4 linked regions of the Anolis sagrei genome follow. The protein of the gene in region 3 purifies or fractionates together with the protein of the main gene of each other region. This does not show direct contact. Links are inferred from orthologs where the notes say so. Each region holds a gene or a part of one and is shown on either strand. Other genes may lie near its edges. The genes, in order: TBL1XR1, GTPBP4, MECP2 and DDX56.

Evidence for each region.
Region 1: the proteins of MECP2 (region 3) and TBL1XR1 purify together in Homo sapiens (co-immunoprecipitation; 3 studies listed by BioGRID and IntAct, with this or other methods). This does not show direct contact. The link is inferred for Anolis sagrei from reciprocal best matches to the Homo sapiens genes MECP2 and TBL1XR1.
Region 2: the proteins of MECP2 (region 3) and GTPBP4 purify together in Homo sapiens (affinity purification with mass spectrometry; 3 studies listed by BioGRID and IntAct, counting the BioPlex papers as one, with this or other methods). This does not show direct contact. The link is inferred for Anolis sagrei from reciprocal best matches to the Homo sapiens genes MECP2 and GTPBP4.
Region 4: the proteins of MECP2 (region 3) and DDX56 purify together in Homo sapiens (affinity purification with mass spectrometry; 3 studies listed by BioGRID and IntAct, with this or other methods). This does not show direct contact. The link is inferred for Anolis sagrei from reciprocal best matches to the Homo sapiens genes MECP2 and DDX56.

What each region holds. Positions count from the first base shown.
Region 1 is NC_090023.1:256,414,281-256,421,582, reverse strand, and holds the start of TBL1XR1 (F-box-like/WD repeat-containing protein TBL1XR1), read left to right. Parts: upstream 1-4,297; 5' UTR 4,298-4,850; intron 4,851-5,206; exon of another isoform or gene 5,207-5,655; intron 5,656-7,302. UniProt on the Homo sapiens protein: F-box-like protein involved in the recruitment of the ubiquitin/19S proteasome complex to nuclear receptor-regulated transcription units. Plays an essential role in transcription activation mediated by nuclear receptors.
Region 2 is NC_090026.1:117,192,228-117,199,369, forward strand, and holds the start of GTPBP4 (GTP-binding protein 4), read right to left. Parts: upstream 3,020-7,142; 5' UTR 2,958-3,019; coding exon 2,910-2,957; intron 1-2,909. UniProt on the Homo sapiens protein: Involved in the biogenesis of the 60S ribosomal subunit. Acts as a TP53 repressor, preventing TP53 stabilization and cell cycle arrest.
Region 3 is NC_090022.1:175,856,284-175,864,097, forward strand, and holds the start of MECP2 (methyl-CpG-binding protein 2), read left to right. Parts: upstream 1-4,804; 5' UTR 4,805-4,858; coding exon 4,859-4,896; intron 4,897-7,814. UniProt on the Homo sapiens protein: Chromosomal protein that binds to methylated DNA. It can bind specifically to a single methyl-CpG pair. It is not influenced by sequences flanking the methyl-CpGs.
Region 4 is NC_090027.1:20,961,318-20,969,258, reverse strand, and holds the start of DDX56 (probable ATP-dependent RNA helicase DDX56), read right to left. Parts: upstream 3,013-7,941; 5' UTR 2,961-3,012; coding exon 2,904-2,960; intron 1-2,903. Other genes in the region: TMED4 (transmembrane emp24 domain-containing protein 4), read right to left, coding at 7,571-7,720, 7,887-7,941. UniProt on the Homo sapiens protein: Nucleolar RNA helicase that plays a role in various biological processes including innate immunity, ribosome biogenesis or nucleolus organization. Plays an essential role in maintaining nucleolar integrity in planarian stem cells.

The sequences.
Region 1 (7,302 bases), on a different chromosome or scaffold from region 3:
CACAATCCAATTCGTCGTCCGAGATTGCTAATCCATGATCAAACATCATCAAGTCAAGTTAGCCAAAAACTTGCTGGAACATCCAAGTTTTAAGTTTTTTCCGAAATGCCATTAGCGAGGTGGCTGATCTTATTTCAGTAGGGAGGGCATTCCAAAGCCGGGGGGCCACCACAGAAAAGGCCCTATCTCTCGTACCCACGAGCCGCACCTGTGAAGCAGGTGGGATAGAGAGAAGGGCCTCTCCTGAAGATCTTAGGGTCCTGGTGGGCTGATAGGGCGAGATGCGTTCGGATAGGTATGTAGGGCCAGAACCGTTTAGGGCTTTAAAGGTCAAAGCCAGCACTTTGAATTGGGCTCGGTAGCTAATCGGCAGCCAGTGGAGCTGGTACAGCAGAGGAGTTGTATGCTCCCTGCGCCCTGCTCCTGTTAATACCATGGCTGCCGCCCGTTGGACTAGTTGGAGCTTCCGGGCCGTCTTCAAAGGCAACCCCACGTAGAGAGCGTTGCAGTAGTCAAGGCGGGATGTAACCAGTTAAGTATTTCAACCAGTTAAATGGAAAACTAATGCTTCCAGAGACTTTCAGGAGAGGAAATTTGTCCTTGCCACAAAAAGGGCCATCTGTGGGAGGGAACATAAAGCCACATAAGCAGCTGGGGGCAAATGAAGCCCTGGACCACGCTCTGGCCACCTTGCTGGACAGTTATCAGCAGAGCTTTCATCATCTGGTGGAGAACTTTGCCGTTGGAAAAGAGTCCCTTCTGTCACTGCTGTGACTTATGCTTCCCACACTCCACTGTTGTTTTGATGCTGTGCCTTCTTGACCATTCAGGACAATACGCAATAGGCCACACTTAGCTTTATCCTACTTCTCTTGTATTTCTTTCCTTTTTTTGTTAGTTTGCTTTCTAAATCTGTATTTTGCAGAGTGGTGTGTCTTTCCTGTTAGCCCTGGCTCCCTCCCCCATGTTTCTTTATCCTCTTTTGCCCTCCAACTTGCTCTGTTGTAGGTTTTTTCCCCCCTTTTAGTACATTTCATTTGAATTGTGCAGAACACCAAATAATGACTTGATCTGCTTAATGCAATTTCCTGGTTCTCTTGTGCTCTCTCTCTCTCTCGCCCGCTCAGAGGAAGAGAGATCCCTTCCCCCATGAAGTGTTTTTTCCATTCTGAATGCTATGCTGCTGCTGGCTTGAATGTTGCAATAAGAACTTCAAACAATGCCCTGTTCTGGTCATTGCACATCACTGGCTTCGTGTTTTTGAGACTGCACTGTTTTATTTATTTTTTGTACTTTTTTATATTTTGTTGTCTTTTTCACTCCCACCACACTGATATATTATTAAGCCGACATTAAACCAATGCAGACTTGTGGCTGGTACAGGAACTGAGCTTTTCTCTCTTATTACTTACTTAACAGTGCTGCTCCCATTTTTCTGTTTCATCTGCGTTACAATCTGGCCCACATATGTTCACCAACCAACCACTGCTTGAAAATATGCAAAAAAATTTACGAAAATGAAATTCTATTTTTTTATTTTGTATAGGTAAAGGTAGTCCCCTGAAATTAAGTCCAGTCATATCTGACTCTGGGGTGTGGTGCTCATCTCCATTTCTAAGCCGAAGAGCCAGCGTTGTCCGTAGATGCCTCCAAGGTCATGTGGCCGGCATGACTGCATGGAGCGCCGTTACCTTCCCACCGGAGCGGTACTCATTGATCTACTCACATTTGCATGTTTTCTAACTGCTAGGTTGGCAGAAGCTAGGGCTGACAGCGGAAGCTCATGCCGCTCCCCGGAATTGAACCTGCGACCTTTCGATCAACAAGCTCAGCAGCTCAGTGCTTTAACCCACTGCGCCACCGGGGGCTCCCTTATTTTGTATAGGGAACACCATTCACATCATTATATATAATGGTGGCATAGCAGTTAAATTGCTGAGCTGCTGGACTTGCTGACTGAAAGGTTGGCAGTTTGAATCCAGGGAGTGAGGTGAACTCCCGCTGTTAGTCCCAGCTTCTGTCAACCTAGCAGTTCGAAAACATGCAAATGTGAGTAGATCAATAGGTACTGTTTCAGCGGGAAGATAGCAGCGCTCCATGCAGTCATGCTGGCCACATGACCTTGGAGACGTCTACGGACAATGCTGGCTCTTCGACTTAGAAATTGAGATGAGCACCACCCCCCAGAGTCGGACACAACTAGACTTAATGTCAAGGGAAAACCTTTACCTTTTTATATATAATGGTACTTGCGCATCCATGGATTTTGGTATCCACACCAACCTCAGTGGACACCAAAGGCTCTTGGTACAAAAAAATAGTAGGGAAAGGTCACTATAGAAGGGCAAATGTGGGCTTTTCTACCAAATTATTATCCCGTGTTTGCCAATTCAGGAATGACTTTCTCATATTGCTTATAGGTGTTTCCTGTATTTGAAAAGCGGATATTTTTGCTTTCACAGACCCCAGATATTTTTCACGGAACATTGTGCCACATGTAACAACACCTCTCCCCCCCTCCCAAATTGTAGCAATTTATTATACAGTATTGAAGAAATGACCTTGAAGGAGTTGGGGGTGGTGACGGCCGACAGGGAGCTCTGGCGTGGGCTGGTCCATGAGGTCACGAAGAGTCAGAGACGACTGAACGAATGAACAACAACAGCAACAACATTGAAGAAATAGGATATCAGTTGTTTTGTAGCAGCAATTGCTGTACTCTTAACTTACCAACCGGGATCTTGCTATGAACCTCCATATCTATAGGAAAAACATTTCTGGACTGGGCGTGGATATGCGAAATTGCAGATAATAGCGAACTCCACTGAAATGAAGGCATTCCGAATTATATCATCATGTTGTTAGAGGACCTAAAAATGGTTATGTGGCTAAATAAAACTGTATGTACTATCCCTATGGATACAGGGGCCAAATTGTGCAGTATACATTTATAATCCTAGAAGAATGGGGAGGGGAATATTGTTGCACTTCCAGCCATCCAATGCCCTTTACTGCTTTACAGGTCTCAAAAGGAGATTCTCCACTCCGCATTTTCCTGTTTTCTGATAGTGCTGCTGATCTTCTCTCCTTTCCCTGAGTGCATCAAAACATAATGCTCTTGAATATTATTTATTTTATTTATTTAAAACATTTCTATTCCGCCCTCCTCACCCCAAAGGGGACTCAGGGCGGAGCACAGCATATACAGGGCAAACATTCAATGCCGAGACACAAATTCACATACAATACATAAACATTAAAAAACATTTGTCAAAATATTAAAATACATGATTTAAAAATACACAATTCCTAGTAATCCGGAATTGGCCTGGTCATCTTTCCTATTGCCGCTTTATTGCCCTGTCCCAAAAGCTTGGTCCCACAGCCAAGTTTTTACCATCCTTCTAAAGGACAGGAGGGAGGGGACCGACTTGATCTCACCAGGAAGGGAGTTCCATAGCTGAGGAGCAATCACCGAGAAGACCTGTCTCTCATCCCCACCAATCGTGCCTGTGACAATGGGGGGACGGAAAGCAGGGCCTCCCTGGAGGATCTTAATCTCTGTGATGGTTCATAAGGGGAGATGCGTTCAGACAGGTCTGGGTGCCTGTGACCACAATGAATATTGAATTTTCCACTCAAAACCACTGCTCTAGAACATGGCCATATAGCCTGAGAAAACCTACAACAGTGGTTCTCAACCTGGGGTCCCCAGATGTTTTTGGCCTACAACTCCCAGAAATCCCAGCTAGTTTACCAGCTGTTAGGATTTCTGGGAGTTGTAGGCCAAAAACATCTGGGGACCCCAGGTTGAGAACCACTGCCCTACAACAACCCAGTGATTCCAGCCATGAAAGCCTTCCACAACCCTGCCACCCATTTTTCTTGCCAGGGTTTCCCTTCCTCTTCTCCTTCCTGCCCTTGCATTTTGCAAACTGTGTGTGATATCATAACCTCTTTTTTTTCTTTGCATTCCTCTCCAGCCACACCTTATTTTATATTTTTTGCAGACCTGGAAATCTCCCCCACTTCCTCTCCAAAATATGCCTGCCTTTATCTTCTCTGCACCTTCTCCTGCATGAGTTTTTTGGGGGGTTTTGTTTTTGCATGCCATCTGGTTTGTTTTTTGCAAGCAAAGAAGCAACCAGGCCTGCTTGCTTGCCTCTCTCCTCCCTTCCCTCTCGTCTCTCCTTCTGTATGTGTGCATGTGTGTGTGTATTAGCCTCTCTTTTTTCCCTCTCTCTCTCTGCTCATTTCTGTCTGGCTGGCCACCTTCCTCTCTCTCTCTCTTTCTCTCTCCCCAATGCTGAGTGTCTGCGAGCCGTTGGCTGCTCTGAACCGTTTTGGCTCCTTCCCTTAGTAACAGCTTTAACATTCTGCCTCAATTCCTCTTCAATCTAAATCACACACACACTCACATACAGACACAGAGATTACTTTTTTTTATTACCCTCCTCCTCCTTTCCTCGGGACTTAATCTGTAATCTCTCCCCTCCTCCTTCTCTTCCTCCTCCCAGAAACCTTTCTGATTTTATTTTATTTTTTTCCCCAATCCCCACCCCCAACACTTACACACACACACACACACACACAGGCTTGGGATATAATTGAATACCTTGCATTCTTGGTGTGACTATTTGTGGTTCTTTCCTCTCCCTTCCCCCCTTCTTTCCCCACCATCATTATTCCCACTATTATTATTTTCTTGGGTTTGCAAAAAAAACCCCAACATATATATGTTGCTGCATTGGTAACAGACCCTATCTATGGTTTCCTTTTTTTCCCTCCCCCTTCCGTTGCAAAATAAAGGAGGAGGGGGTGAGAATAGACAGCGAGGCATCCATTGCAAGGTAAGAAAAAACATCCAAAAATAATAATAATCAAAAATTGACAAAAGAAGAAGAAGAGAGGGTTGTGCGTAAAAGTCTTTTGGTGGAAACATGGAAAAAAGAGACATTGGAGACATTGTTTTGCATGGTGGGGGGCTGGGGTTGCTTTAAAATAAAGGGGAATTCATGTTGGGATAGTGTATTTTTTCAAGAGGGGGGAGATCAGAAGATATTGGCCTGTGTTTGTGAATTGGAGGAGGGAGAGAATTGGGGGTTTGGATTTGCAGCCTGGATTTCTCAGCTCGGCCCTCTCTTTCCTTCCCTTGGAAGTGGGGGTGACTTTTCCCCTTTAATCCCCCCTCCTTTTGGTTTCTTGCCTGTGATGTTTTGGAGGTTTCCCCCCTCCTTCAAACCCCTCCCCCTTCAGCCTCTGACCCCTTTATTTTCCTAGGAAAATGGTGGAGATGGGGGAGGGAAAGTAAGTGCCTTTTGGAGAGGCGAAAAAGGGATTTGCGCAAATAAATGCAACCCAGCAGCCATGATGAAGAAGCCAGCTGGTTGGAGAGCCTATTTTTAGACCGATTTGGTGGTGAGGGTGTCTCTCTCTGTGTGTGTATCTATCCCTGTGTGTGTGTGTAAAGGAAAGGCGACGACTTCTTTCCAGGCACAACACACAGAGGTGTGTGTGTGTGTGTATTTTGAATGTCCTGCGCCTTGGGAAGGAAAACGCACACACAGAGGCGCACGGCGGGGCACCTCCATGTCTCCATAAATTTCGCTCGGAAGTGGGGTGTTTTTCTCCACCTGGGAATGTATTTTTGAAAAGGTCAGTAAGGTGTTTTTTTAAGGTTGGGGTGAGGGGGAGGGAAAGTTTGATTTCGCTTGGGGGTTGTGTCTTTAAAAGCTGTGTTTGCAAAGAGCCTTGGGGGAAGGGAGGAAATGGCTTGGTGGCTCAACTCAGGCTGGGGTGGAGGAGGGGAAGGAGAAGCACTGAGCTGCTTGGGTGTCTCTCTCTATTTTTGCACTGTATTCGTTTAAAAAGGCCTGCATTTGAAATATATTTGTGCTGAAAGGTAGCCTGAGCGTTTGGTTTCGGGTCTGGTTTGACTTGATTTCCCAAAGAGACAACATTGAAGCCCCTGGAGACTTCTGAAGTTGGAGGTGTCTTTGGAGAGAAATGGGGAAAGCACCAGAATTGTTATGGAAGAGTTTCTTGTGAACTTCTGCTGGGTTTAAAAATGTGGACAGCCTACACACCTGCATATGTGTGTGTTTATATGTATATGTGGTTATGTATATCTATCTAGGTATAGATTATGCCCCTTAAATTTAGAAATCTTGCTGTTTAGAGAGTCCACGTGTAAAAAGTCTGAAATGTCAGACAACACCCTGCAATAGTGATATTTTCCCTCCTTTTAGAAGTGTTTGGTTTTGGCCTGATTTCCCAAAAAGACAACATTGAAGCCCCTGGAGACTTCTGAAGTTGGAGGTGTCTTTGGAGAGAAATGGGGAAAGCACCAGAATTGTTGTGGAAGAGTTTCTTCTGAACTTCTGCTGGGTTTAAAAATGTGGACAGCCTACACACCTGCATATGTGTGTGTTTATATGTATATGTGTGTGTATATAGATAGATATAGATTATGCCCCTTAAATTATGAAATCTTGCTGTTTAGAGAGTCCACGTGTAAAAAGTCTGAAATGTCAGACAACACCCTGCAATAGTGATATTTTCCCTCCTTTAAGAAGTGTTTGGTTTTGGCCTGATTTCCCAAAAAGACAACATTGAAGCCCCTGGAGACTTTTGAAGTTGGAGGTGTCTTTGGAGAGAAATGGGGAAAGCACCAGAATGGTTATGGAAGAGTTTCTTGTGAACTTCTGCTGGATTTAAAAACGTGGATAACCTACACACCTGCATATGTGTGTGTTTATATGTATATATGTGTATGTATATCTCTATATAAAGATAGAAATAGATTATGCCCCTTAAATTAAGAAATCTTGCTGTTTAGAGAGTCCATGTCCACGTGTAAAAAGTCTGAAGTGTCAGACAACACCCTGCAATAGTGATATTTTTTTCTCCTTTTAGAAGTATTTTGGTTTTGGCCTGATTTCCCAAAAAGACAACATTGCAGCCCCTGGAGACTTCTGAAGTTGGAAGTGTCTTTGAAAAGAAATGGGGAAAGCACCAGAATAGTTATGGAAGAGTTTCTTGTGAACTTCTGCTGGATTTAAAAATGTGGATAACCTACACACCTGCATATGTGTGTGTTTATATGTATATGTGTCTGTATGTATATATTTATAGATATAGATTATGACCCTTAAATTTAGAAATCTTGCTGTTTAGAGAGTCCATGTCCACGTGTAAAATGTCTGAAATGTCAGACAACACCCTGCAATAGTGATATTTTTTCCTCCTTTAGAAGTGTTTGGTTTTGGCCTGATTTCCCAAAAAGGCAACATTGCAGCCCCT
Region 2 (7,142 bases), on a different chromosome or scaffold from region 3:
CATGTGGCTGTGGAGCCCTATTCTTGCTCTGCATCTTCTTCCGCAGTAAGGGCATTGGTTTCCAGGTGGAAGGAGGTCTCGGTCGGGGTTGGCTTGAGGCGGCTTCCTCTTGGCACGCTTCTCCCTTTCGCCCTCCATTTGTGCCTCCTCAAATTCTGCAGCATTGCTGGTCACAGCTGACCTCCAGCTGGAGCACTCAAGGGCCAGGGCTTCCCAGTTCTCAGTGTCTATGCCAGAGTTTTTAAGGTTGGCTTTGAGCCCATCTTTAAATCTCTTTTCCTGTCCACCAACTTTCAGTTTTCCGTTCTTGAGTTCGGAGTAGAGCAACTGCTTTGGGAGATTATTATTATTATTATTAACTTTATTTGTACCCCGCGAGCATCTCCCGAAGGACTCGATGCGGCTTACACAGGCCGGAGCCACAACACACAATACAATAGAAAACATAACAAGTAATAACAAAGCAAATCAACATCAAAAGCGAAACAAATCAAAAATTAGCGAAACAGCAATAACAATACATCAAGACATATTAAAAACTGGTTCGGCCGGCGAGAGGGGTACATGATTAAAGTGCTGAAAATGGCAGGAGGGGCGTAGGAATTAAAGTACGGTGTGCAGCAGCGTTAATTGTACTAAAGTGCTACTAGGACTTGGGATGGGGATTCTTAATCCGGGAAGGCACAACGGAACAGAGATGGTGGTCGGGCATCCGGACAACGTGGCTGGTCCAGCGGAGTTGATGGCAGAGGACAATCACTTCAATGCTGGTGGTCTTTGCTTCTTCCAGCACACTGACATTTGTCCGCTTGTCTTCCCATGAGATTTGCAGGATTTTCTGGAGGCAGCGCTGATGGAATCGTTCCAGGAGTTGCATGTGATGACTGTAGACAGTCCACGTTTTGCAGGCATATAGCAGGGTTGGGAGGACAATAGCTTTGTAGACAAGCACCTTGGTATCCCTATGGATGTCTCGGTTCTCAAACACTCTCTGCTTCATTTGGGAAAATGCTGCACTCGCACTTATGGATCTTTGACTGTCATATTCAAACTGTTCCTGGATTATGGACTTCTTGTCTGGACATTCCCAGAGGATTAGATTGTTGTTCATTCGTTCAGTCGTCTCCGACTCTTCGTGACCTCATGGACCAGCGCACGCCAGAGCTCCCTGTCGGCCGTCACCACCCCCAGTTCCTTCAAGGTCAGTCCAGTCACTTCAAGGGTGCCATCCATCCATCTTGCCCTTGGTCGGCCCCTCTTCCTTTTGCCTTCCACTTTCCCCAGCATAATTGTCTTCTCCTGGCTTTCCTGTCTCCTCATGATGTGGCCAAAGTACTTCAACTTTGTCTCTAGTATCCTTCCCTCCAGTGAGCAGCCGGGCTTTATTTCCTGGAGGATGGACTGGTTGGATCTTCTCGCAGTCCAAGGCACTCTCAGCACTTTCCTCCAGCACCACAGCTCAAAAGCATCAATCTTCCTTCGCTCAGCCTTCCCTAAGGTCCAGCTCTCACATCCGTAGGTGACTACAGGGAATACCATGGCTTTGACTAGGTGGATCTTTGTTGCCAGTGTGATGTCTCTACTCTTTACTATTTTATCGAGACTGGACATTGCGTCTTCTGATTTCCTGGCCACAGTCTGCATCTGCAGTAATCTTTGAGCCTAGAAATACAAAGTCTGTCATGGCCTCCACATTTTCTCCCTCTATTTTCCAGTTGTCAATCATTCTTGTTGCCGTAATCTTCGTTTTTTTAATGTTTAGCTGCAGCCCAGCTTTTGCGCTTTCTTCTTTCACCTTGGTTAGAGAAGAAAGCGCAAAAGCTGGGCTGCAGCTAAACATTAGATTAGGTCACCATATTTCATCAGCTCTCAACACTGGGGCATCACAGGGCTGTGTGTTGAGTCCTCTGTTTTACACTTTGTACACACGATTGTACAAAGGTGTTTTGGACTTCAACTCCCACAATTCCCAGCATCTGGTAGCCTGTTAGGAATTGTGGGAGTTGAAGTCCAAAACACCTGGAGGGCCCAAGTTGGCCCAGGCCTGGATAGTTGCACCCATGGTGGTCAATCAATTAAAATTGATTAAGTACCCAAACATCAATTCATTGGGTTCTTGTGGGTTTTTTCGGGCTATAGAGCCATGTTCTAGAGGCATTTCTCCTGACGTTTCGCCTGCATCTATGGCAAGCATCCTCACTACCTCTATAGCCCGAAAAAACCCACAAGAACCTAGTGATTCCAGCCATGAAAGCCTTCGACAATCAATTCATTGCATTAGTAATTCCTCCCTACATCCAATAGCTTGGGGACCCGGCGCTGCCCGGGTTATTAGAGAAAGGAATTGTATATCAAGGTTGGTGTTTATCAGTTATTTATATGGCTCGCAGTGGTCTCAGGAAGTTAGTGAAGGTACTGTGAGTCCCATCATCTGTGGTCCATCGTCCTCCAAACTGCACCAGGATGGAGAGAGGGTCATGGGGGCTCTCTGTGCTAAGTTTGGTCTTGATCAGTCATTGGATGAGGGTCACAGCAGTCTCAGAAAGTGTGTTAAGGTACTGCAAGTCCCATCATCCATAGTCTCCCTCAAACATCACCAGAATGTTGAGTTGGCCATGGGGGCTCTCTGTGCCAAGTTTGGTCTTTATTGGTATTTGGATGAATGTCACTGTGGTTTCAGGAAGTGAGTGAAGGTACTGCAAGTCCCATCATCCATTGTTCTAAAGAACGAGCGCCACCTGTTGGATTTCTGCCTGAGAGTTAAAAGGCGCCTCGAGGAGGAAAGCCTGCTCGCAGAGGGACACGTGGTTCCTCCCCACGTCGCGTACAAGCCTGACCAGTAGCCACGGGGACGGCCCAGCCGCACTATTAGAAACCGGGCCCAAGCGTGGAGGGGCCTCTCTCCTTACCTTGGCGGACGGGACCACCATAATCTTCTTGAAGTTGTAGAGCGCCATGGCTGCGGCCTCCTCGCCTGACGGCCGGCCCAGCAGGAAAAGGCAGAGCGGCGCCTGGAGGAGGGACTTCCGGGTTCCCACCTCTCGCGAGATGAAACCGGCACGCGAGAAAAGGAATGCTCCCAGGCTTCTGTCTGTTAAAATAGACTTACGATTTCTATAGAGTCACATCCGCTTTCAACACAGCTACCTTCCGAGTTAAATTCACTTTAATAAGCACATTCTTCTCTGTTTGCTTCATCCAAATGGAAGAAAGATTCCCTTTCACGCCACCTGCTGCCCAGGAGGATGAAGTGCACATTCTTTTTCCAGCTCTCATCATATTTGAAAGTTACTTAAAAGGGGAATGTAATGCCTGAATCAGAAAGTGTTCCAAATGCATACTATTTGAGAACACAAAAATGTTGGACCACTCTCACAACCACCATGTCAGACTACACAGAGAAGCTACTGAAATCCACAAGCATGTAGACAATTTCAACAGAAACCATGAAAATGAAAATAATCGGAGTTGTTGTAGGTTTTTTTGGGCTGTATGGCCATGGTCTAGAGGCATTCTCTCCTGACGTTTCGCCTGCATCTATGGCAAGCATCCTCAGAGGTTGTGAGGTCCTCACTACCTCTGAGGATGCTTGCCATAGATGCAGGGGAAACGTCAGGAGAGAATGCCTCTAGACCATGGCCATACAGCCCAAAAAAACCCTACAACAACCCAGTGATTCCGGCCATGAAAGCCTTCGACAATACATTGAAAATAATCTGGCTACCAGTATGATAGAAAACTCTAAAATCAGAACAGTAAATAAAGAACAACACTCAGAAAACAGGGGAATTCCAGACATGAATCAGAACCAGCTAACAGCTCCCAACAAAGGAAGCAGCCAGGCTTTGAAGCTGAAAGGCCATTCAATACCAATCAAGATGGCCAATTGCAACATTCTCACTTTCCACAAGCAAACAAAGAGTTCTTTCTCCCACCCTGGACATTCCACAGATATATAAACCTCACTTGCCTAGTTTCCAACAGACCTCACAACCTCTGAGGATGCCCACCATAGATGTGTGCAAAATGTCAGGAGAGGATGCTCCTGGGACATGGCCATACAACCCATAAAACTCACAACAACCTAGTGATTCCAATCATGAAAGCCTTCAACACGTTCCAAATGTTGTCTGAATGAAAGTTTTATCTTTGTTTGAGGAAGAAGTCCAAACGTGGTTCCTTTTGTGGCATAATTTGGAAACAGGAAACATATGGTGATTTTGTTGCATGGCCATGTTTTCCGTGCAACAAAATACAAAATACCAGATGAAGTTGCCAATTCTTCAGTTTGGATGGGATAAACTCCAGGCCTGAGGATAGGGCATCTGCACTGCAGATTTAAGGCAGTTTGGCCCCATGGTTAAATGTTATGGAATTATGGGAGCTATATTTTACGAAGTTTTTAGTATTGAAGCGGAAAATGTGACGTTTTAGTTACCCTGCGGATACAGAGGAAAATAATCTAGCAAATTTATGTCAGTTTCTGTATTTTGGGTTATATAGTAGATTTCCAAAATGTGATTTAATGCTGTAAGCATGTGTATGTAATAATGTTCAGCAGGGATAGTGTTAAGTGTGTTTGTTCCTGCTTCCCAGGCATGTAGCCGGGGGGGGGGGGGGGGGGGGGGCTTGAGGGGCTTCGCCCCCCCCCCCCCCCCCCGAAATTCTCATGGTGGTTCGCGAAAAGGCCTTACTGGTGCATTATTTAAACTGTTATGTTTATTCATATCATGATCTGATCACCATACTCAATATATCCCATATGCATGGGGGCATTGGGGTAATGATACAAAAGGTTTGCTAGGCTAGACCCTCTTTCACTCAGACTCAACCCCCCCCCCCGAAACTCAGCCCCCCCAACCCCCCTGAAAAAAAATCAGCCCCCCCCCCCCAAACGAAATCCTGGCTACGGGTCTGCTGCTTCCTGTATGTGACGTATGATGCCTTCTATGGAATGTAAGTAGGCGTGTTCTACTGAGTGTGAAGAAGAATCCGAGTAGCTATTACTGTGTCTTGGTGTATTGTTTATTGCTTGTTGTTTAATATTGCTTTAACTGTTTTTAATTTGTGTTAGGTTGTATATTGTTATGTTGTGTTTTTAGGCCTTGGCCTTTGTAAGCCGCATCGAGTCCTTCGGGAGATGCTAGCGGGGTACAAATAAAGTTAATAATAATAATAATAATAATAATAATAATGAGTTGTCTTTTGCCACAGGCAGACGCTACCGTAAAACTCTCATATGTATATAGTCTGTAAATAAAGCTAATTGGTTTATTGCTTTATGGCTGTGTGTCGGAGCAGTTTTATCGCCCTATCAACCAGACAATCAACAATTTAATCTGCGGAAGGGAGGCTCACATGGGAACAAAAGCTCAAAGTGTGTAAGTTTACCGAATATGGAAAAGGTGGCCATATTTATACACATAGAACTCCATGCGTTAACATTGCTATTTGCTTGAAATTCCCTCCCAGCCATGCAAAAAAGCCATCCTCCTGATTGATCAGGGAGTGGAACCTTGCTGGCTTGCTCTCCAATTGGTTGGGGAGGTGGTGACATGGCCCTGGGGCCTCCAGTGGTGAGGCCAGACAGGCCATCACAGTGTTAATCCAAAGATAATGTAAGTCCAAAAAATTAAATGACCAGATTATGCGATATTGAGTCCAGGACTCAGGAACAATAGTGACTTGCCAGACTCAAGCACTTTCTCAGGAGAGGGACAATGACAAAGCCCAGTGTGTCAATAGGAGACTTGAGTGTGTCTCCTCTTGGGTTATTGTCTCACAGATGGTGGCGATCTCCCAGAGGGAAGTTTCAGGTGGCATGCTGGAGTTCTTCTGTTGTTTGCCAGCAAGGGTCTTTGTCACCTTGATGGTTATCCAAAACTGGCCCTGGGAGGGGTCCTAGAGGGAGACTGTTCAAAGGTTCCTGGAGTTCACTTGAGTTTTCCCTTCAAAGTTCACTATTTCATAAAACATATAGAAATAAAGAGAATCATAGAATCAAAGAGTTGGAAAAGACCTCATGGGCCATCCAGTCCAACCCCCTGGCAAGAAGCAGGAATATTGCATTCAAATCACCCCTGACAGATGGCCATTCAGCCTCTGTTTAAAAGCTTCCAAAGAAGAGGTGAAAGGAGAATGTGTCTTATTTCATAAAGGGTCAGGGGAGAGGGGGTGGCTGATAGCCTTATTTTTGTTATATTTTATAGGATGCTCACGTGTGCAGATCCGCAGTGAGAAAAATAATAAAAAGAAAATAGTTATAGATAGTGGGGCAAAATGGAGAGGAAAGCAATGAAGTCTGTTGAGGGAGGAAGACAGATACAGTGTATCTCTGGCAGCAAGGCCAGTGATACTCTATAGCACCAGTTCTGTCTGGCTTCCCCAGGCTGCGCTTGTGCACTGCGGTAGAAAGATCCCAGTAAACCGACTGAGCTGGCCAGGCCAGCAGCATGGATGGTGGGGTTTTGGGAAAATTGGGGTTATGTGTTGCTGGTTAGGGGTGCTTGGGTGCAACTGGAGAGACTCAGTGGGGCAAGGGCCATGGCAACTCATTGAGGCCCTTCGCCCCCAGAAAACTACAACTCCCACGGATACTGAGTCTCCATTTTATTTGGAGGGGTGGGTATTACTGTTTGACAACAGTATCCCCTTCGAAACAATTGGTGACTCACCACACTACAGCTCCCAGTTTTGAGTGATTTCAGCAACAGCTAAAACTGTGGCTCCAGTTCAAGGAGATGTATATGATTCAGAATAATTCGTGTTTTTGTGGGTAAGATTTTTTGAGAACACCAGGATTTCATCACATTGAGCCATGACAATTGAAGTGGTGACAGTTGAAGTGGTAGGAGCCCCCCCCCCCCCCCCCGTGGCGCAATGGGTTAAACCCTTGTGCCAACAGGACTGCTGACCGAAAGGTCAGTGGTTAGGATCAAGGGAGTGAGGTGAGTTCCCATCTGTCAGCTCCAGATTCTCAGGTGGGGACACGAGAGAAGCCTCCCACAGAATGGTAAAACATCCGAGTCTCCTGGGCAACATCTTTGCAGACGGCCAATTATCTCACACCAGAAGCAACTTGCAGTTTCACAAGTTGCTTCTGACACGAAAAAAAAAGTTGAAATGGTGTCAAACTGCATTGA
Region 3 (7,814 bases):
TAAACTGAGATGGTTGAACTTTGGAAATATCATGAAAAGACAATATTGTTTGGGAAGGTAGAAGGCTGTGAGAGAAAAAGAAAGACAGCAAGAAAAGGGGATATAATCAATCAAGTAAAGAAGATTGGCCCTCAATCTGCATGAATTGAGTTGATGACTGGGTGACCTGGAACTCTCTCATTTATAGGGTGCCACAAGTCAAAGTAGACGTGAGAGAAATTAAAAACAACAAAGTGTCCAATTAATTTCATCATGGCTTAAATGCTCATATAATTAGAATAATTGCACATATTGCACTGCACCTTTTGATTGATCAATAAAAGATCACCACAAGATTTTGGAGATTTATATAAATCTGGAAACACTGGAATCTTGTACATATTTATTTTGCTGTGACCTGATTATTTCAGTGTGGCTTTTTTCAGAAGATATATTCAGTATTGTATTTAGAATGAAATCTATTTACATTTACTTAGGAGCAATACTTATAGAGCACAACAGAACTCACTTCTGCTAAACAATCATAGAACTGTACTGTCAGTATGCTTGGATGATGGTTTTAGTATAAAGACTATATTTTTCTGGCAAATACTTACACAAATAAAAAAAATCACAGAAATATTTCCCACAAAATAATCTTAATCATTGAAATTTTAGTATAAGGAAAATACAAACATATAAAACAGTTGAAACACACAAATATATTCTAAAACCTGTCACAATACTTTTCGGCTGGAATGACTGCATACTACAAATAAAAAATATATTTAAACTTTTATATATTTTTACTGTAGTCCTGATTCTTCTCATTTCCCGCATTATGTTAAAAGCTATAGAACAAAAGGCATTTAGAAGGAAATTATCTTTTTAAAATATTTATGAAAGGGCTGAGTTTTACAAAACAGAGTAATGAGGAAAATGTGTTAAAATGCTGTAAGCAACATGTAATTTGTGAAACAGATTGGTCTACAAGTTCATTTTTAAAAGGAACACTATTGTGATTCAAATTAGTGTGTCAAACATATGTAGGGACAGTGCAGCTTTGTTGCAGGGTTGAGATTGTATTGTTTGTGTGCATGTGCGAAGTGATTGTATAGGACATCATATGGATCCACTGAATGACTCAGCCATATTTCTATATAAATAGTGGGTGGGAGAATAGGATTCCAATCTGAGTAAGACTGTGATCATTAAGAGAATAACAGAGGGACTCTGACATGTTTATCCAGTTCAAATGGACGTGAAAAGACATGACTGTAGTTCAGTTGATGAAACTAGGACAGTTTTAGGTTGGCTGAGAAAAAAAATTGTAGGGCTTCCATGTGTTTAGCAGGTATTCTGAATTTAGTAAATGATGGTTTATCTGTCATGCATGTACACTGACATTAGGTTATATATGTAGAATAATTTTTTTGTCACAGATATACTAAAAACCCACGTGTCTTATAAGAAATGAATTTTGGAAAATGTAGTTGTGAAACAAATAGTGGCCAGAGAAAACTTCTGGTGTGATGTGGAAGGATTGCAGAGATAATAGATACGATGGACACAATTCTTGTGGACTTTGGTTTTAAAAATGTGAAATTATGCACATCATCAACATTCTTATTTTTAAACCTAGAAAATTAAATTCTGCTTGACAGCTTTTGTATTGGGCCTCCAGCATCAAGGTTTCTATACATTTGTGGACTTCAACATTCAGTAGGGGGCAGATGCGTGTCTAATGCATGCACATGGCAAATGACGGGACAGTAAAGTTTCCTGTTGTTTCATTTCCACACCTTTCCCACTCTAGTGATCTGTTCGTTTTCACTTGTATCTGCGTATTTATTTGGCATGTTATCAAAGCGACATTCAAGAGAAGTAGTCATTCCCAACACTGCTCACCATTATGAGGGAGAAAGGCATATCTTGCCCAACTGACAGCAATTGGTTGCCTTGCGGCCTTCAACATCAGTTCTGTTTCTCCTAGTGGTATGAGCCACATCAAGCACGTCTTCCACTAGGTTTCCTCCATCTCACTTATTTTGCATAAATGAATGTTATGTGGTAGCTTTTTATAGCACAAACATGGCTACACTGCTTTTAGAACAGGATACTCATATGAAGTGTATGTCTGGATTTACAGCTGACATTTCATATTCCTGGATTTCACATTTGCGGATTTGATTACTATGTTGTAAGAATGTCTAGATTCTCCAGCACAATTATACAATCAACGTCCACTGGAAGTTAATCATAAAGTCATGGTGACTTAGAAATTCCTAAAGTTATGTTCTCTCAGGTTAAAAAAACACCCTTTAAAATTCAATTTTTTCCACATTCATTGCTATACACTGAATCTGTCATGTTTCTGAATCTGTAAGTTAAAGTGAATTATTCTAATTTTCTGGGGAGCAAGCACCATTTTATCCAAAGGAAATTATATTGGAATAGACACTATGTAGGATTGCACTGTTAAAAGTACCAAAAGCCAAATGTTCATAATGATATTACTTGATGGTCATGTTTATGTAACTGTCTCTGTGTTTAATACAATATGGTAAACAAATGATACATTTTTATTTATAAAATTGTGATTTGAAGAAAATTTATTTGCCCAATCACTGACAACAGCCTAAAAGAATGGATTTTAGTTTTAGTTTGCGGTTTTAATCTACGGAATAAATTGTTTTTTGCGTCACGTATTACGTGTGTTGCGGGTTTATAATTTTATCAGATATGTTCTGATCTGTTGGTTATGTTTATTTTTATGTATGTTTTATTTACATGGTGTTGGCTGCTTTAAGTTCCGATTCGGAAGAAAAGTAGAAATAAATTCCGATTCGGAAGAAAAGTAGAAATAAATAAATAAGACTGGCATGACACTCTGCAATACCTGCTGAATTGAACACTATTTGTGTCTTAATATTTGCACTAAAATGTGTAATGCAAGGCCAGAAAGTTATTTTTGTTCTTTACAATATATTCTGTCTACAGGGGCGGCTCAACCCATTACGCAAAGTAAGCATTTGCAGTATAGTTGATTTTGCCCAGGAGTGCTCTTGAGGCATTCTTGGGGGAAAATAGACCTTGACATATGCCAGTTGTAGTTACTGGGATGTACAGTTCACCTACAATCAAAGAGCATTCTGAACTTCACCAATGATGGAATTGAACCAAATATGGCACACAGAACTCCCACGACGAACAGAAAATATATATCAATGATTGGTTGGGGGGAGGCGCCAAAATACTGTTTGCTTACTGTTGAAAATTACCTAGGGCCGCCTCTGTCTGTCTACTTGATCTTTATGAAACAAATTGCATTATAAGAATAATAATGGGAGAATTCAAGGTATTATTGGCTATATGCGAGTCAGTAGCGAGCCACTTCTTGAGTATTCCTTGCTAAAGAAAATCTTATGAAATTGACAGGGTTTCTATAAGTCAAGAGGCTGTTTAAGGACACACAGAGGAATAAACTAGTTTTAACAGTTCTGTCAGGAATATGAAAATAAATCACATCACGTCCTTTCTCCAGATATTAAAGGGTGTCTATTGTATCCTTTAGTGCAGGGGTCCTCAAACTTTTTAAGCAGAGGGCCAGGTCACAGTCCTTCAAACTGTTGGAGGGCCAGATTATAATTTGAAAAAAGCATGAATTAATTGAATTAATTCCTATGCACGCTGCATGTATTTTATTTGTAGTACAAAAAGCACTTAAAAACAATACAATAATTAAAATGAAGCATGAATTAATTCCTATGCACGCTGCACATATTTTATTTGTAGTGCAAAAAACACTTAAAAACAATACAAGAATTAAAATGAAGAACAATTTTAACAAATATAAACTTATTAGTATTTCAATGGGAAGTGTGGGCCTGCTTTTGGCTGCTGAGAAAGGATTGCTGTTGTGTGCTTTCAAGACTTAGGTCAACCCTGAACGAGGGCTGGGTAAATGACCTTGTAGGGCTGTATTCGGCCCTCGGGCCTTAGTTTGAGGACCCCTGCTTTAGTGTTTAGCTTTGAAAATAGGACAGGGATTTTTGTTTGTTATTCTCACCTGAGAGGGAGTGTTTTTTTCCCCATCTAGAGCTGCAGCACATCTGCTTTCCAATAAGAGGTATGTCAGCAAAGGCACACTATTTCCTATCCCTGCAGTGAAGCACATCGCCCCAGCTGGCCTCTTATGGTGGTGAATTTGCCACTAGGAATTCTGCCACTGCTGTGGTAAAGATGTATGCGGTGCTTTACAGGTGTGGGTGAGAACGCTGGACCATCTGAGGAGGAAACAAAATGCCTGTGATGTGGGTAAAACAGTCCTTGGGGGAATCTGTGCTGTCACGGTACAAGAATTGCTGTCATTCACGGAAATATATTATTTGTCCAGTTCGGCTGTTCAAAGGCCCTGAGGTGAATTGCGACCGTCTGTTGGTCTTCTCAGGAAGCTGTGGGAACATGACCTTGATGCTACTTGATGGGCCACATGAAAGGGACAGCCCTGACATATGCTGAGAAGGTTGCTCGCATGACGACAGGGAGCGGCCTGCTCAGGGGCGGCATTTCCAAACCCTTGAGGCCTGGTGGCGAGAGAGGGCCAATGGCGAAGAGCGCGGGCTCCTCTCCGCGGCCTACTTCGTACCGTTGTAACTGACAGCGCTTCCCGCCAATTCTAACGGCCGCAAGGAAGCAGGGCCGCCTCGCCCGTGTGGAAAGGCGCCGGCCAATCGCTCTCGGGGGGCGCCCTGACTGATGGGGCGCGCCGCCCAATGGCAGCCGAGGAGGGCGGGGCCTGGCTCTCCGGGTTTCCTCTCCGGCTCGGTTTCCCCCCCTCCTCTCCCCCCCCTCCCGCGGGTTCTTCGCTGCGAAGAAAATGGCGGCGGCGGCGCCGAGCGGAGATGAGGAGAGATTGTGAGTGACTCGAGGGGAAGGGGTGGGGGAGAGCCGGGCCGGACCATCGAGCCCCTGGCGCGGGGGGTCCGGGCGGGACCATCTGTGGCGTCCGGAGAGGGGGGAGAGGTGCGAGGCAGGGCTGCGGCCGCTGGGCTGCCTCTTTTTTTTCCCGCTCGCGGGCGCCCTCCCCTCCCCTCCCCTCCCTTCGCCTAGCCCTCCCTCCCGCCTGCCTTCCCTCCTGCGCGCGCCCAGGGCCCCTGAGTGCGTCACAGCGGTCCCCTCTGCCCAGCAATGGGAGGGGCCGGCCTTTCCGCAAGGAGGGAGGGGAGGGGGAGAGGGGCCCGGGTCAGGGGTCACGCCGAACGAATTCCTGGCGCGCGCGCCTGAATGGCCCCTTCAGGCAGCCTCCTCCTCCTCCTCCTCGCAGGGGGCCCTCCTCACTGCCTGAAGCTGCTACTTGCCCGACAGGCCCTTCAGGGACCTGCTCACACCAACTTCGCCAACGCAGGCTCCAGGTTGTTGGGGCCATTGGGCAGCATGTCTTTGCGGGAAGGCTGTATTTCAGGGCTCTCCTCTTGTGAAGGGCCCGACCAGGCCTACCCTGTGTACCACCAAGGGCCCTTCCACACAGCCACATAATCCAAAACATCGAGGCTGAACATCCCACCATATCTGCTTTGAATGGGTTTATCTGAGGGCCCTTCCACACAACCTTCCACACAGCCACGTAATCCAGAATATCAAGGCAGAAAATCCCACCAAACCTTTGAATGGGGTTATCTAAAGGCCTTTCCACACAGCCACATAACCCAGAATATCAAGGCAGAACATCCCACCATATCTGCTTTGAGTGGGGTTATCTGAGGGCCCTTCCACACAGCCACATAACCCAGAATATCAAGGCAGAACATCCCACCATTTCTGCTTTGAATGGGGTTATCTGAGGGCCCTTCCAAATAGCTACATAACCCAGAATATCAAGCAGAAAATCCCACCATTTCTGCTTTGATTGGGGTTATCTGAGGGCCCTTCCACACAGCTACATAACCAGAATATTAAGGCAGAAAATCCCACCAAACCTTCTTTGAATGGGGTTATCTAAAGGCCCTTCCACACAACCATATGGCCCAGGGCGCTTCCACACACCCCTATATCCCAGAATGTAAAGGCAGAAAATCCCACCAAACCTTCTTTGAATGGGGCTATCTAAAGGCCTTTCAACAGAACCATATAACCCAGAATATCAAGGCAGAAAATCCCACCATATTTGCATTGAATTGGGTTATCTCAAGGCCCTTCCACACAGCCATATAACCCAGAATATCAAAGCAGAAAATCCCATCATATCTGAATTGAATGGGGTTATCTGAGGGCCCTTCCACACAGCCATATGACCCAGGGCCCTTCCACACACCCCTATATCCCAGAATATCAAGGCAGAAAATCCCACCATATCCGCATTGAATGGGGTTATCTGAGGTCCCTTCCACACAGCCATATAACCCCGAAAATATCAAGCCAGAAAATCCCACCATGTCTGCATTGAATGGGGTTATCTGAGGTCCCTTCCACACAGCCATATAACCCCGAAAATATCAAGCCAGAAAATCCCACCATATCTGCATTGAATGGGGTTATCTGAGTCCACACTCAGATAATGTGGGATTTTCTGTCTTTATATTCTGGGATATAGGGCTGTGTGGAAGGGCCCTCTGTCATCTTTAAAAGCCTTATTGAAGAAAAGGGTTTCTAAGTCCACACTGCCATATAATTCAGTTCAATGTGGATTTTATACAGCTGTGTTGGAGGGACCTTAGAATTGCGGGAACTTTTAATATACTGTTTTTTCTCGATTCAAAAGCTCACTTTCCCCTCAAATAAACATATCTACAAATGGGGTATCTCTTAGTATTGATATGTATAGATATATAGATACAGTTTTTCTGTTGCTGTGCTAGAATTAATGTGCACGTTATAATCAATGGTGGTTTATAATGGATAAATACGGTATCTAAATGAAAAAAATTCTGTTGGTGATCCTGAATTTCTTACAACTGATTGCATCTTACAGTCAAGGAAATACATTATATTTATATACAGAGCTGCTCTGTAACATTGTCTGAAGAGTGTATGATATTTGTGAACTGCTGCTGACTTGTGGTCACCAGTGAATTTGTGATGAGGGGACAACTCTTGTGAAGAATAGCCACCTGGGCATGGGTGATGTATGGGGTCAGCATCCTCTGGAGGTGGAGATCAAGTGATCAGAGAAAACGGTTGCTCAGTTGCTTTCAGTAGCCTCAGTGGTCCAGTCCTTATCTCTTTCCACTGAGATATAGGCCTTCATAGGTTGGTGACTAATTGGAGTGAAGAGTACTGGTTCCTTGTGACCATCGTTTATTCAAAAATATAAGTCCATTGTGTGTCAGTCCTCTGAGGCAGGGTACTATGTAAGTGTCTAGGTCCATAAACAAATCACAAGTACATTTCCTTTCCCAATCTTGGTGGGGAGAATTGGGGTGTGATGATTGGAAATAATGGCCTTTACTGCTCTTGGTTAATCATTTATTCTCATTTTGGGGACTCTACTTGCTCAATGGCTTTATCTCTTTGTGCAGCTTAGGGTGGACCAAGTGTGGTGTCTGAGACCAATGTGAATTGATAAGTGGAGTCTGTAATGGTTTGAATCAGAACCACTATAACTTCTGCTTGCTTGTACTTTCCTCTCCCTCTGGTAGTCATGCTAAGAAGGATTGGATTTGCTGAGTCAAATGCCCTCGTTTTTATCTTGCAGAAAGGGAAAGAATATAGGGAATAGTTCATTAGTTCATTGGATACGGGCAATAGTTCATTTTACTTGTAGTGCTACAGAGCCAGCCCTCACTGCCAGAGTGCCTAAACTAAGAGGGCAAACAAGTGAAAGGGCATAGATGATC
Region 4 (7,941 bases), on a different chromosome or scaffold from region 3:
GGTGAAGTGTCAGGAGAGAATGCTTCTGGAACATGGCCATATAGCCCGAAAAACTTACAGCAACCCAGTGATTCCGGACATGAAAGCCTTCGACAACACAATAATAAACAACTTTATTTATATCATGCCTCCATCTCCCAAAAAAGGGACTTGAGGCAGGTTACAAGGTACTGCAAGTGCAGTATAAACATCAACTGTTCATGAGTATAAAACAATATCACATAAAAGTTATAAATAACCACTATCAACACATAAAATAAAACACACAATTTAAAAACTCACGCCATCTATGGTTATAACTAACTGCCATCAATACTCAACTAAAGTGCCAAAGTGTCAATAACATTATAGGCATCACAGTGACTAGGGATGGAAGTCAAGGTGGTGGGTGTATGGGTGAGTGGGAGAGGGGTCAACTCTGGATGTGGGCAAGAGAATGGTCTTATATGTGGTATTGTGTGTGATATGTGTGGCATGTGTACTGTCTGCATTTAATATGTTTGTAAATATTCTTTTAAGCATAAATTCTCCCTCAAAGGAAAGAACTCCACATGACAGGCACACAGTCTTCACTAAGAAAGCCATGGCTCTGAATCTGCAAGACCTAAGCAGGGCAGTTTGTGATTGGGGTGCATCTACACCAGGCATGGGCCAACTTCGGCCTTTCCTCCAGGTGTTTTGGATTTCAACTCCCACAATTCCTAACAGCCAATTAAATGTTACTCAGGCTCACCAAATGCAACATCTGCACTTCCCTTAAACAGCCACGGGTCTGTGGAATGATGTCCAGAGTGGGGGAAAGAACCCTTGTCTGTTTGAAGCAAGTGTGAATGGTTCAGTTAGCAATCTTGAATAGCATGAGTGGCCATGAAGTTTGCAAAGTCAATCAGTGAGGGTATCTGCATAGAGGTAGCATGGTTTCCTCCTTTCTGTTGAACTTCTCCACGTCTGCTTGTGGATTTCAATGGCTTCTCTGTGTAGTCTGATATGGTGGTTGTCAGAGTGGTCCAGCATTTATGTGTTCTCAAGTAGTATTCTGTGTCTACGCTGGCTCATCAAGTGCTCTGCTATAGCTGAAGATGCCTCTAAACTAGTGGTTCTCAACCTGGGGTCCCCAAGTGTTTTGGCCTACAACTCCCAGAAATCCCAGCCAGTTTACCAGCTGTTAGGATTTCTGGGAGTTGAAGACAATTTCACCTTATGCCTGGAGGCTTTGTCAAACTGGCTACGTGCTAGCAGACTGAAGGTGAATCCGGCGAAGACTGAGATCCTGTGGCATGGCCGCCCGATAGGTCCGACCCATCCATTACCTACCTTTGATGGCGCTGCTCTATCTCCATCGCCTACCGTTAAGAGCCTAGGTGTCGTTTTGGATTCGCAGCTGACGATAGAGGCTCAGGTCGCTGCTGCCAACAAACAGGCCTTTTTCCATCTACGACAAGTGAGGCAACTGGCACCTTACCTGTCGGATGAGGCTCTGGCAACTGTCATCCATGCCACGGTCACAACTAGGCTGGACTATTGTAACACCTTGTATGTTGGCCTTCTTATTTCTACGACCCGAAAGCTCCGTATTGTCCAGAATGCTGCAGCCAGGTTACTCACAAAAACCCCCATGAAATGCCATATAACACCAGTGCTGCGGCATCTACACTGGCTCCCAATTGAGTATCGTGGTTTGTATAAGATGCTGGTCCTGACCTTTAAAACTTTATATGGCCAGGGCCCATTGTATCTTAGAGACTGTCTCTCCTTCTACCATCATCGGAGGTCGCCACGACCATCCCAACGCGATCTGCTCTATATACCGGGTCCTAGGGAAGTGCACTTGGAAAGCACCAGACGCAGGGCCTTCTCTATTTCTGCCCCTGCCTTGTGGAATTCCTTGCCTCCCTATCTGAGAACCATGCGTGACTTAGGGCATTTTATCCTAGCACTTAAGACCTGGCTTTTTACTAAAGCATTTGACCCATGTTAACTTTAATATTTGTATGTGTTTTATCCTGTGTAATTTCTGCAGTGTAAATCGCCTGGAGTATCTCGGATGGAGGGCGGTTAATAAGCAATTAAAGATGATGATGATGATGAAGACCAAAACATCTGGGGACCCACAGGTTGAGAACCACTGCTAGACAAAAACAGCCAGGCCAGCTCTACGCAGATACTCTCACTGCTTAACTTTGCAGCTGCAAGTCTACTCAATGCTAATCAAGATCACCAACTGCAACATCCACACTTGCTTCAAACAGCAAAGGGTCTGTGGAATGATGTCCAGGATGGAAGAAAGAACCCTTGTCTGTTTGAAGCAAGTGTGAATGTTGCAATTAGCAAGCTTTAATAGCTCTGAGTAGCCATGAAGTTTGCAAAGTCAATCAGTGAGGGTATCTGCATAGAGGTAGCCTGGCTGTTGTTGCCTGGAGGCATCCTCTGCTTCCTTTCAGACTACACAGAGAAGCCACTGAAATCCACAAAAGCACATGGACGATTTCAACAGAAAAAAAGAAAACCATGCAAATAAACAAAATCTGGCTTAGAGGATTAAAAAAACATCAGAATCAAAACAGTAAATAAGGGACACCACTCAGAAACAGGTGAACCCCAGATAGCAAACAATCAAGGGCCAGTTAATCTTCCCAAATAGAGGGTGCCTCCAGGCAACACAGGCCAGGCCACCTCTATGCAGATACTCTCACTGATTGACTTTGCAGTTTTATGGCTACTCGCTCACTGCACAATTCCTAACACCTGGAGGGAAGGCCCAAGTTTGCCCATGCCTGATCTACACTGTAAAAATAATGCAGTTTGACACCACTTTAACTGCCATGCTCCTGTGTTATGGAATATGGGGAGGAAAGAGGAAGGAAGAAAGGAGGCAAGCAAGCGCGAATGAACAAGGTCCAGACCTGAAGCAAACGGGGATCCAGGCCCAGGTGCTCGAAACTCGGCTCCTCGTCAGCCATGCTGCTTTCTACTCGCCAGAGGGCCAACTTCCGCCGGAAAACGGCGCCGCGCCTGCGCACATCAAGCACGGAGCATCGAGAGCAAGCTTTGCGACCAGAACAGCCCGATGCTGCCCCCTAGAGGCCCGGGAGGGAAGGGGGGCTCCCACCCAGCCTCTGAACATCAAACATCAAAGCCTTCCCCACAGATGGCCTTTCAGCCTCTGTATAGTATAATAATAATAATAATAATAATAATAATAATAATAATAATAATAATAATAATAATAATAATAATGGAAGAGCCTCATCAAAGCCTTCCCAACAGATGGCCTTCCAGCCTCTATTGTAATATATTAATCATCATCATTATTATCATGGAAGAGCCTCATCAAAGCCTTCCCAACAGATGGCCTTCCAGCCTGTATTGTAATATATTCATCATCATCATCATTATCATCATCATGGAAGAGCCTCATCAAAGCCTTCCCAACAGATGGCCTTCCAGCCTCTATTGTAATATATTAATCATCATTATTATCATGGAAGAGCCTCATCAAAGCCTTCCCAACAGATGGCCTTCCAGCCTGTATTGTAATATATTCATCATCATCATCATTATCATCATCATGGAAGAGCCTCATCAAAGCCTTCCCAACAGATGGCCTTCCAGCCTCTATTGTAATATATTAATCATCATCATTATCATCATGGAAGAGCCTCATCAAAGCCTTCCCAACAGATGGCCTTCTAGCCTCTATTGTAATATATTAATCATCATCATCATCATAATGGAAGAGCCTCATCAAAGCCTTCCCAACAGATGGCCTTCCAGCCTCTATTGTAATATATTAATAATCATCATCATCATTATGGAAGAGCCTCATCAAAGCCTTCCCAACAGATGGCCTTCCAGCCTCTATTGTAATATATTAATCATCATCATCATCATCATTATGGAAGAGCCTCAAAGCCTTCCCAACAGATGGTCTTCCAGCCTCTATTGTAATATCTTAATAATCATCACCATCATAATGGAAGAGCCTCATCAAAGCCTTCCCAACAGATGGTCTTCCAGCCTCTATTTCAAAGCAGAAGCTGGCACCCCATCTACACTGTCATAACTTAACATTTGGGAATGCCATTCCAACGCATGAAATAGAATTATATGAGCTTACACTGCAACAGAATGCAGTTAAACCATTCCGAAACTGCTTTCTCTGGCAGTGTAGATGGGGCCTGGCTCGTCATCTACAAAATGGAAGAGGCAGAAGGTGGTCCTCCTCTTTCTCCTCGAAATGGAAGAGGCAGAAGGTGGTTCAAGTAGGCCTGTCCAGCACTGAAGGAACGGAGGTCCGCAGGCTTGGGAAATTGCATTTCATAGCACCTTGGTTTTTTAAAAAATCCTGTTAAATTTGTTCAGATGGATTTGACTTTTGGAAACAAACTCCTGAACAGTCCTGAAAGCATTTGGCAGAAGAGCTAGTGCAGAATCCCTGTGTGCCTGAGGGACGGATCGATGAAATTGTATGATTGGAGTCTGGCTATGGCCTATTAAGGTCTGGCGAGATTGAAAATGCCACCCTAAAATTAAAACCCGAATATGATTAACTTTGGAACGAAAGTGCTTATGAGAAAACTGATGAGAATGGAGCCGAGAACTTTTTGTGTAAACAACACGTTTACATGGCCAGAGACAATGACTCTGCAAGTTAAGGAAGTTAAACAACATATCTTCTGGAACTGAAGAGCTTTGAGCAAGTCTAAGCTCTTCAATTCCTAATCAAGCAAGAACAGCAGCAAAAAAAGTTCTACATAAGGAGGCTCTTTTCCTCTTTGAAAGTGTGCCAGAACTGCAAGGAATGCAGATTTGAGTACCCACCTCCTTCTTCCAATGAAGCCTGATGGACTGAATGAAGAAGGATGGCGAGTATGAACATTGAACGAATGGATTATGAGTGAATTTTGGAGTAAATGTGATGTTCCCCTTTTGTCTGTGTAATCAATATAGGTAAAGAAGGTATGAAGGAAGGAAAAAAGGAGGGAAGTAAGAAAGAGAAAGAAGGGAGGAAAGAGGGAGAAAAGATAGAAAGTATGAAGGGAAGATAGATAAAAGGAGAGAAGAAGGAAGAGAAAGAAGGGAAGGGAAAAGAAGGGAGAGTAGAGAGAGAAAGGGAAGGGAGAGAAGCTATGGGTGGAGGTGAGGAAAAGAAAAAAAAAGAAAGATGATGAGGGAAGGGAGAGATGAGAAAAAGAAACGGATAAAGGGATGAAACAGGAAAGAAAGAAAGAAGGGATGAAGGAATAGAAGGAAAAGAGAAAAATGAGGGAAAGAAGGGAAAAAGCAGGAAGGAAGGAAGAGAAAGAAAGGATGAAAGGAAGAAGAGAACAAAATAAAGGAGGGAAGAAAGAGGAAGAAAGTGAAAGAAGGGATGAAAGGACGGGGAGAAGAGAGAATAGAGGAGGAAAGGGAAGAAACAGGAAGAAAGGAAGAGAAAGAATGGATGACAGGAAGGGAGAATAAAGGAGGGAAGAAACAGGAAGAGAAAGAAGGGATGAACGGACTGAGAGAAGAGAGAATAAAGCAGGGAAGGGAAGAAAAAGACAGGAAGAGAAAAGGGATGAAAGGAGGGAGGAAAGAGAGAGAAAAGGAGGTAAAGAAGAAACAAGAAAAGAAAGGCGGGATGAAAGGAGGGAGGGAAGAGAGAAAAAAGGAGGGAAAAAACAACAAGAGAAATTTATTTACAGCATTTATATACCGCTTTTCTCACCCCAAGGGGGTGATGAAAGAAGGGAGAAGAGAGAAAAGGGAGGGAAGGAAGGAAAGAAACACGAAGGAAAGAAGGAAGGGATGAAAGGTGGGAGAGAATCATAGAATTGGAAGGGACCTCGTGGGCCATCCAGTCCAACCCCCTGCCAAGAAGCAGGAAAATTGTATTCAAAGCACCCCAACACATCCAGCCTGTTCAAAAGCCTCCAAAGAAGGAGCCTCCACCACACTCTGGAGCAGAGAATTCCACTGCTGAACAGCTCTCGCAGTCAGGAAGTTCTTCCTAATGTTCAAATAGAATATCCTTTCTTGTAGTTTGAAGCCATTATTCTGCGTCCCAGTCTCCAGGGCAGTCTCTCTCCTCCCTATGACTTCCTTTCACATACTTACATATGGCTCTCATATCTCCTCTCAGCCTTCTCTTCTTCAGGCTAAACATGCCCAGCTCTTTAAGCTGTTCCTCATAGGGCTTGTTCTCCAGACCTTTGATAATTTTAGTTGCCCTCCTCTGGACACATTCCAGCTTGTCAACATTTCCCTTCAATTGTAGTGCCCAGAATTGGACACAGTATTCCAGGTGTGGTCTGACCAAGTCAGAATAGAGGGGGAGCATTACTTCCCTGGATTTAGGCACTATACTCCTATTGATGCAGACCAAAATCCCATTGGCTTTTTTTGCTGCCGCATCAGAAGAGAGAAACAAGGAGGGAAGAAATGGGAAGAAACAGGGAAGGAGGAAGGAAGAGAAAGAAGGGAGACTGTGTGTCTCCTTCTTTCTCTGAAAGTGCCTAATGCACTCTGTCCTACTGAAAACAGATTAAAGCACAATTTAAGGTGCTTTATTGATGACATGAGCAGCCCCTCGGTACCCTTTGCTGGGGCCTCTGGCCATGAACAGATTCCCCTCAGCCCCCCTCTCCGCCACCACCACCACCACCGATGGCTCCCTTTGGGCTCCCAGTGAGAAGAGGGGCCAGACTCAGGAGCCCAATGCAGCCCAAGGCCCTTTCGACACACAAGAAACAGTGCTTGCAGCAAAATGTTTATTTCACTCCAAAAACCGTAGCAAGGGACACTAGGAAGAACATACCCTACCGAACTGGGAAGCAAAGACTCCTTGGGACCAAAGCGGTGGGAGAGGGGGGGCGGGAGGGAACCTTGACACCATTTCAGGGTGCCAAAGGTCCAGCTCTGGCCCAGTCCAAGCAGAAACAGGAGGGGCCCTTCTCCCTTCTTCCTGACCCTCTGGGCCCCAAGGGTGACTGGCTTCCCTGCCAAGGAACCAGAGACAGCATCAGGAGGAGAACAAAATACTAAGACTCTGCATTGATCTCCTATTGACTCTTAAATGGTGAGGATGGCCTAGTCACTGGTGCTAAGAGTTGTTCCTCTTAAAGAGATATGCTACCCCTGCAAAGACAAGGATGTCCACAAATGAGCTCTGGCCTATGCTACCATCCCAAAAAATTGCACAAATGTCCTTCGCCCCATTTCCCCTGCGGCCCCAAGCGCTTATTGAAGCACAGTCACACAAAGCCAGTAGGAGAGGGGCACTTTGGGTCATCTCAGCCATCGGGCGACAGCACAAGGGGAGAAAGGAGGCCTCTTTACGCACGAGAAGCAACACCTTCTCCTTCCGTTGTCCTGCATTCCCTGAATTCCAGCTTCCTGAGCACAGGTCCAGGCTTAAAAAGGGCAGCCGGGGGCGAATGGTGGGCTTTGCAAAGGGGTATTTGTGGCTCAGCCAAGGGCAGTCTGTATTGGGCCTCCATTTCAGTCCAGTGCTTTAGGAAATCCGGAAGCGTGATGACACGTGCCGTAGTGGCCAAAGACGGGGGGCTTTTGTGTGCCACCGGAGGATCTAAACCAATTTCTTGGCCTCGAAGAAACTCTTGAGGTGCCTCATCTGCCAGATGCCCGTCAGGATGAGGATTACCGTCTGGGCGATGGACCACCACAGCACCCGCTGGTTGGTGCTCTCGCTGGTCATGCGGAAACGCTCCTCCCGGTACTGCAAAGCAGATGCACCCTGTCAGTGACAGAATCACAGCCCCGTGCCTCTCCACAGGACACCAATAAGACCCCAGCCAAGCCCAATGTGTGCCAAAGGCTAGGGACTGTGCTGCATAAGTAGATGGGGAGGGCAGGACTTGCAATGGAGGATTCTCCCAACTCACCCTTTGGTAGTTCTGCTCCTTCTGGATCTGCTCCACTTGGTCCAGGAGCTGCCTG